Linked DNA regions of Cricetulus griseus. The protein of the gene in region 2 interacts with the protein of the main gene of each other region in a pairwise test. Links are inferred from orthologs where the notes say so. Each region holds a gene or a part of one and is shown on either strand. Other genes may lie near its edges.

What was found.
Region 1: the proteins of Furin (region 2) and Marchf1 interact in a protein complementation assay, tested with the Homo sapiens proteins (2 studies listed by BioGRID). The link is inferred for Cricetulus griseus from reciprocal best matches to the Homo sapiens genes FURIN and MARCHF1.

Annotation. Positions count from the first base shown.
Region 1 is NW_023276806.1:242,872,409-242,876,327, forward strand, and holds the start of Marchf1 (E3 ubiquitin-protein ligase MARCHF1), read left to right. Parts: upstream 1-1,403; 5' UTR 1,404-3,919. UniProt on the Homo sapiens protein: E3 ubiquitin-protein ligase that mediates ubiquitination of TFRC, CD86, FAS and MHC class II proteins, such as HLA-DR alpha and beta, and promotes their subsequent endocytosis and sorting to lysosomes via multivesicular bodies.
Region 2 is NC_048596.1:117,205,426-117,209,344, reverse strand, and holds the start of Furin (furin precursor), read right to left. Parts: upstream 2,568-3,919; 5' UTR 2,535-2,567; coding exon 2,358-2,534; intron 1,975-2,357; coding exon 1,876-1,974; intron 1,781-1,875; coding exon 1,685-1,780; intron 1,255-1,684; coding exon 1,126-1,254; intron 1,044-1,125; coding exon 967-1,043; intron 244-966; coding exon 155-243; intron 1-154. UniProt on the Homo sapiens protein: Ubiquitous endoprotease within constitutive secretory pathways capable of cleavage at the RX(K/R)R consensus motif. Mediates processing of TGFB1, an essential step in TGF-beta-1 activation.

The DNA.
Region 1 (3,919 bases), on a different chromosome or scaffold from region 2:
TTAAAAAATCCCCTCATTTAAACATCCCACATACTCCTCCAATCTCTTTCAAATTCATGCCCTTTTCTTTCATTGTTATTGCCAACTTCTAAGATCCAGTTCTTAGGGAGAAATATATTCCTTTCAAAATAACTGCTACCCCAAGACAATACACCTCTTCACTCAACAGGCCAGACATATTATTAAACAACATTAAGCAATAATATAAATAGTATTTTAATGCCTGTTATTAGAGGATGAAACCAAGGCACAATTTTATTTTCAAGTCTTATTAAGAAATATATGTCTTGAGCCACAGCTAATATAGATACTGATTCCATTTATGGATTGCAAAAAAGTACATTGAAAATCTTCCTGTAAATTATCCATTGCTTTAGGTACCCTGAAGGACATTTATGATTATGGAAGAGCAAAAAAATCTCAACATAAATGGGCATTTTTAAAAAGTTGATTTCAAAATGACCAAAATCATACATGTACCCCAGCCTTCCATTGTGCTAGAACTACAAGGATATAAGATTTCTGCAATGCATTCACATCATAAGAGAATAAATTTCACTGTAAAATGTTGATTGCAACCATTAGGGGGGACTTAAGGGCTTTGATGGAAGAAACATTGATGGAAGAAACCATGCAGATGGTAGTGGAGGTAATAAGAGAACTAAAGTGAGAAAAGGAGCCTGAGATATAACTGAATTGTTACAGCCTCATGTGAAAGACAGATTTACTGAGATGATGGGAACATTCCTGAAGTGACAACAGAGAATTTGGAGAATGCCTGAACTTAGTTGATAAAGCAATGGTAGAACTGATTGACTACATTTTTAAAAGATGTTATATTATGGTTAAAATAATGTCCAACATTGGGGAATGCTACAGAGAAATGTTATGTAAAAGAAAGTAAAATGATACAACAGATGTTATTCCAGATGTGTTTTAAGAAATAATCACAGCCACTCAACTTTCAGCAATCATGTCTCTCAAGAAATGGGGGTATCTGATGGGGAATGTACTGTGTATATTTATCTGATTGATTGTTAAATAAAGTTCTGTTTGGCCAATGGCAGCAAGTTAGACAGGACTGGGAGTCAAAGAGGATTCTGGGACATGTAGTAGATAAGTGGTGATCCAGGCAGGAAGTGACATAGCAAGGAGACTCATATCTAAGTGAGGAAATAGGAAGTGAACCCTTTTTCCTCTTCCTCCTCCAGCAGTGCAATATGATCCACCGGCAAGGAGGGACTCCAATAAGGCATCTGATAAGATAAGTCTTATAAAGTAGATATGTATGATAATTAAGACTGAGCTAACAGATGAGAATCCTAGTCATTGGCCAAGCAGCATTGTACCTAATATGTCTCTGTATTATTTTGTTCCTTCCACACGGCAACAGAACTCAGGTGGCTGGCAGAGACCGCACACATGGCGGTAGGGCTCAGGCGGCTTTTGGCAGAAAGATTTATCTTAACAGGTATCCTTATGGAGATACCCGCCCCACACACACACACACTCCATGAAGGCTAAAATGGTCGCATGCACTTTTCATGGCTGCAGTATTTCCTAATTAAGATCTATGTATTGCTATTTTGTAAATAATGTTATTCTACATTAGATGGGCTGTAGTATCACATAAACACATTTTTATATGTTCCAGGAAAAAAAACAGTTCATGTGATCCATTTTATTACTTTGTTTACTTTATTGTGATAATCTGGAACAAATCTGCATTTCTAAGATGCACCTTGATGAAATCAGTGTTCAGTTCTGTGAAATTGCTAAAGAGGAAGAAGAATTTATATATACACACATTTAAAAATACTGTGAGGAGTCATGGTCTCAAGAGTGTATATTAACGTCAACACTTGCTTGAGAGGTCATGGTTTTTATTTTATTGGAAATGTTGGAGACCTGGATGAACAAAATTTCTCAGTACAAGACATTTTCACATTTTTTTTCTAAGCATTTATTCATGTTCAAGGCAGGCTGAATCACTCATAATATACTGCTTCCTGAAAAAAAAAAAAAAACTGAACACTTTGTAAACAAGAAGGGAAATCAAAGATGTCAAGAAATAACTACTGTCATGTCAGTATCAAACCACATGATTAAGAGGCTCTATAGGATATGCTTGAATGTGTGTGTGTGTGTGTGTGTGTGTGTGTGTGTGTGTGTGTGTGTGTGTGTGTGTGTATTTCTTTTTATTTAAAGAACCCTGATGAAACCAAATTGGGGGGGTCTTTTTTTTTAAGAGATTTTTGTTGTTGCTTTGCCTGGCCTTTTTTTTAAAATCACTTTTTTTTAAAACAATCTTTTCTCATTTTACATACCAATCCCAGTTTCCATCCCCCCTCCTCCTTATCCCCCCTCTTTTCCCCACCCCACCCCCTATCCACACCTCATAGTGAATGAGGCTTCCTATGGGGAGTCAAGGAACTCTAGCACCTTACTTTGAGGCAGGATCAAGGCCCTCCCCACTATACTAGGCTAAGCAATGTATCCCTCCATAGGGAATGGGCTCCAAAAAGCCAGTTCAAGCACTAGGGATAAATCATGGTTCCACTGCCAGTGGCCCTACACACTGCCCAAGCCACACTACTGTCACCCACATTCAGAGGGCTAGTTTGGTCATATGCAGGTTTCCCTGCTCTCAGTCCAGAGTCATCAGTTAAGAGGATGTACTACTCTTGCAGAGTATCCAGTGTGGTTCTGGTATCCACCTTAGGCAGTTCAAGTCTAACTCCATCTCTAGGAGACTTGATACCTTCTTCTGGTCTTCACAGGAACCTGCACTCACATGCACATTCCCTCACAAAAACACATACTATCACAGTATAACATAGCTAAATATATAGAGATAAATAGGTTGTATGATTTTAGGGTTTTCTGAATTTGCTTTGAGTTAAATTTAAAAATTACTTAAGAAAAATCAGCCACTTTGAAGAAAGGCTAAGTACTCTTATAAAAATTGGAAAACACTTTTAAATTGCCAAAGTTGGTGTAATTTTTCAGCTAAATTGTTCTGTAAAAATTCCTATTTTGAGTTTATAATATGCATCTATGTAGTAATTTGGGACCATTAAGCCAGTTTTATTCATTTGTTCTTAACTTTCATATAGCAACTGTTGTTTTACATGTGTGGATAATTCAATAGTCAACAGAGAGAGTTCCCAGATAGCCAGAGCTACACAGAGATACCCTGTCTTAAAAAATAAAAACAATCAATGGTTTTAAAATTTCTTGACTGTCCCTTAAAATATGTCACACGAATCAGTAGTTCATTGCTTCCAATATAGTTTTCAACATTTTTTTTTTTCTGACAGAGATGATAGGCTACACACGCACGCACGCACATCCTCCTTTTAATACTTTTAAAATAATGACTTGACTGAAACCCACAATTGTTTCATGTTTTGTTTTTAGCAGATTTTAGGCTTCTTTCTCTGTTAGCTAAAGTGATACTTTGCATTTAAGGACAGCTCAAGAACATAGAGAAGCACAAACATGTGGATGCTCATTTGCCATGGCACATGTTTGGTGGCTAGAGGGTTGATGGTCCTTGCCTTTCACATTTTTTAAGATAGGGTCATGGTGTTGCTGTGAAGACTGGGTACTTGACTTTCAAGAACCTTGGGATTCTCCTGTCTCTGCCCCTACGACATGACTCTCTGCTTCTATGGCCATAGGAGCATCTGGGTTCATACTGCCCACTGGCCAAGCTATACATGGGTATGGGGATCCAGGCTCTAGTTCTCATGCACAGCAAATGCTTCCCACTCAGAACCATCTTCTTACCATCCCTAAATCACTTTTTTGTGGTGTTAGGAATCAAATTTAGGGTTTGTTTCACAAATGCACTAATATTGAGGCATAGCCTCAGTTCCAAGAAACACTTTTTGAGGAGCATTATTTAAAATATATA
Region 2 (3,919 bases):
ATGCTACCAGCATGGGAGTCCAGCTTTTCCATTTGCTAAGGACCAGCATGCTGCCAAAAGCTCCATCGTGGAAGGTGGGGGGTAGACAGAGAGAACGTCCATGAGAGGTCCCCCCACCTTCAATGTTGGACCCAGGGCCAAGGCTCATACCCACCTCCAATTCGGGCGTTGTAAGCTACACCTACACCACAGACACCATTGTTGGCTACTGCTGCCACCTCACCCGCACACCGAGTGCCGTGCCTGCCGAGATCAAGAATACGGCATTAGTGGGTGTGGACAGAGTACAGCAGGTAACCCTGAGTCACATCAGTCACTCTTCCCTGTGGGGCCACCATCCTCTTTGCGATGATCATAACCTCCCTTGGATCCTGGTGCAGTGGATCTCTGAGTTTGAGGCCAGCCTGGTCTACAGAGCAAGTTCCAGAACAGCCAGGGCTACATATGGAAACCATGTCCCCCAAAACAAAAACAAAACTCCCTTGGGGGACCAGGACTATAAACAGGGACTCAGTTGTGGGTTTTTCTTGGGGGGGGGTTGAGGGGGTTGGGGTTTTTTTTGTTTTTGTTTTTGTTTTTTCTTTTTTTAGAGACAGGGTTGCTCTGTGTAGCTCTGGCTGTCCCAGGACTCACTGTGAACTAGGCTGACCTGGAACTCACAGAGATCCTCCTGTCTCTGCCTCCCAAGTGCTGGGATTAAAGGCGTGCGCCACCAATGCCCATCTTGGTGTTTTTTTGAGATAGGGTCTCACTATGTAACTTAGCTGGCCTGGAACTCACTATGTAGAGCAAACTCACAGAGATCTGCCAACTTCTCCGTCCCCAGTGCCAGTTTGATTAAAGGAGCCGCCACCATGCCCAGAAAGACTTCAGTTTTTAGGTGGGACTTGTGACATCAGACTCACCCTTGTGTCCTTAACTGGTAAGAGGGAAGACGCTCAGAGGCGGGAGCGTGATATTTCTCACCTGTTGTCATTCATCTGTGTATACCGAGGCTGAGGGTCAGGGTCCTGGTCATTGACATCAAAACTGGCTCCAGGATCCTGTAAGGACAGGGCCATCATCAGAAGCTGCCTCACCACACTGCCCACCGAGGGATCACCACCATTCTCCTCCATTCCTCACATAATTGCCTGCCAAGTCGGGATGGTTCTTCTCAATGCCGTCGTCCAGGATGGAGACCACAATGCCGTGACCTGTGAAGCCCTGGGCCCAGGCTTCCTTCACATTCAGGTCTCGCTGAGTGACACCAGACTGCAGAGACAACCAGCCCATAACCAGAGATATTTGGTCGCTAACTCAGAGAACCCATTCCACCCAAACCCTCTATCACCACCCATTGCCACTCCTTGTTTCCACTGGAAATGCATAGCTTCTGGGAAGGCAGGATGGGCTAGAACAGTGGTTCTCAAGCTGTGGGTTGTGAACACCCTCCCCAGCCCCTCCACCCCGGCAACCCTCTTATCTCCAGAAATATTTACATTCATAACAATAGCGAAATTACAGTTATGAAATAGCAATGAAAATATTGTTATGGTTGGGGGTCAGCACAACACGAGGAACTGTATTAAATAAAGAGCTACAGCATTAGGAAGGTTGAGAACCAATGAGTTAGTAAGCCTCATCCACTCACAGCACCTCACAGTGGTGGGGAAGAAGACCAGAACCCAAGGAGGCAGCATACCAGGTACCACTGCTGGGGAAACTTGGGGTCTGTGGGCTCCTGATACACGTCCCGCTTGGTCCTCCGTTTTGCTACCTGCTGCTCCAGCCACTTTACCTAGGGATGATATAGATGATATAGGTGTGTGTGGGGGAGGGAGGGGGGCTCAGAACAGAAGCAGTGGCAGCTGGAAGGGCCAGGGCCACACTTACTTGAGGCTCCCTCTGTAGCCGGATGTGTCGCTGGCGGTGAGGTGACAAGGACCGCTTTGTCACTGCTCTATGCCTGAAGTGGTAATAGTCACCAAAGATCTGCAATAAAGCAATGAGACCGAGATGGGCCTTCCATCTGCCAGTCCCTGGGGGAGGCAGAGAAGGGGGTGGACAAGGCTGCTGGGGAGGCTCACAAAGACAAGTGGTGATGGGGCATCTGTTCCCTGCTTAAGACCCACGAGAACATGCAGGGGATGGAGGGGGACACCCTCATTGAGATGTGCTGGTTTTTCTAAGCAACTATGATAAAAGCCCACTAACAGGACAATGCCACAGACCCCATCCCAGCCACCCAGAATCTGCCTCTTGCCCAGATGCCCTGGAAGACACTCTACTTTATGGTGCAAAAGCTTATGCCCTCACCCTCTCCACCACGAGGCAATGTCCTGAAGTTACACCAACAGGCCAGGTGAGAAACCTACCTGGCCCAGGTTGTGGAACCCATGCTTCCGTGCCACGCTGTCAGCCACAGCTGGGCCTCCAGAGATGTGCACAGCCCAAGTGTTGGTGAAGATCTTTTGGCCACGAGCATCAGCTGCTAGCAGGACCAAGGCTCCTGCTGCTGCTACCACCCATAGCAACCAGGGCCTCAGCTCCATGGGGGGGCAGATGACTGGGACCCCGGAGCTCCTGTCTCCCTGGCCTGGTCACAGGGCCTTGGCTGCCACGTGCCTGCTCACTGCCAGGGCCCCGGAGCTGACTGGCGGGGGCATGGGGCCGAGATGGGCAGGGCTGGGGAGCAGGGTGAGGGCAGGCTCTGAGGGAGCAAGAGGAAGAAAGGAAGAAGAGTCAGTTGGTTCTCATCACATACTAATACTCTCCTTCCTGTCTTCAAGGCTTAATCAGGGGCTAAAAAGGAGTTTCGGGGAGGTGGATAAAACAAACAAATACATGCTGGGCGTTGGTGGCGCATGCCTTTAATCCCAGCACTCGGAAGGCAGAGGCAGGCGGATCTCTGTGAGTCTGAGGCCAGCCTGGTCTCCAGAGCGAGTGCCAGGATAGGCTCCAAAGCTACACAGAGAAACCCTGTCTCGAAAAACCAAACCAAACAAACAAACAAACAAACACCCGAGACTCTGGGAAGATGGCTCAGTAGGGACAATTACTGTTGCCCAAGCATGAAGACCTGAGCCTGGAGTCCCAGAACCACATAAAAAGGTAGGCTTGGCAGCCTGTGTCTGTAACTCCAGCACCAGGGGCAGGACAAAGACAAAAGAATTGCTGGGGCTTGCTGGCTACCCAACCTATCCAAATTCACAAGCTTCAGGTTTGGGAAGAGACCCTGTCTCAAAACAAAACAAAACCCCCCCCAAACAATTGTCAGGGTTGGAGAGACGCTCAGTGCTTCTTTAAGAGCACATGTATGTAGCCCCTGCTCCTGCGGAGGACTAGCATTCTAGTCCTAGCACCTGTATGGATGGTTCACAACTACTTATAACCCCAGTTCCAAGGGATCCAATTCCTGCCCCATCCCCCAAAGCCTCACCACATACACACACACATACACACAAGCTGTCTTTGGAAGAATCCAGCCCCTATCCCTAAAGGTCAGCCAAACAGGCACATGGACCCATCATCTCCCTTCACAAGCCTTTCTCCGTTAAGAATACAATCAGGGCTTGAGTCATTCAAAATAAAAAAAAACAAACAATAACCAAAGAAAGAAAGCTACATTATAAAATGGCATGTACACCGGATTCCATTTTGTTTTCTTAAAACTATACATGCATATTTATACATAACCAAAACAAAATCTGGAAGGACACACACTAAAATGTTAACAATGGCTCCTTGGAGAGATGGTGAGAATTATGAGTAGCAACTGTTAGGTTTTTTTCTTTGTGCTATCGTATGTTCTCCTAATCCCTAAGTATAGTTTATAAAAGAATAACATGTTAGTGCTTTAAAAAATGAACAGGGTCTACCCAACTCATTAGGTTAGCTGTAGGGAGTTGTTTGAAAAGACTCACAGTCCCTGAGAGGG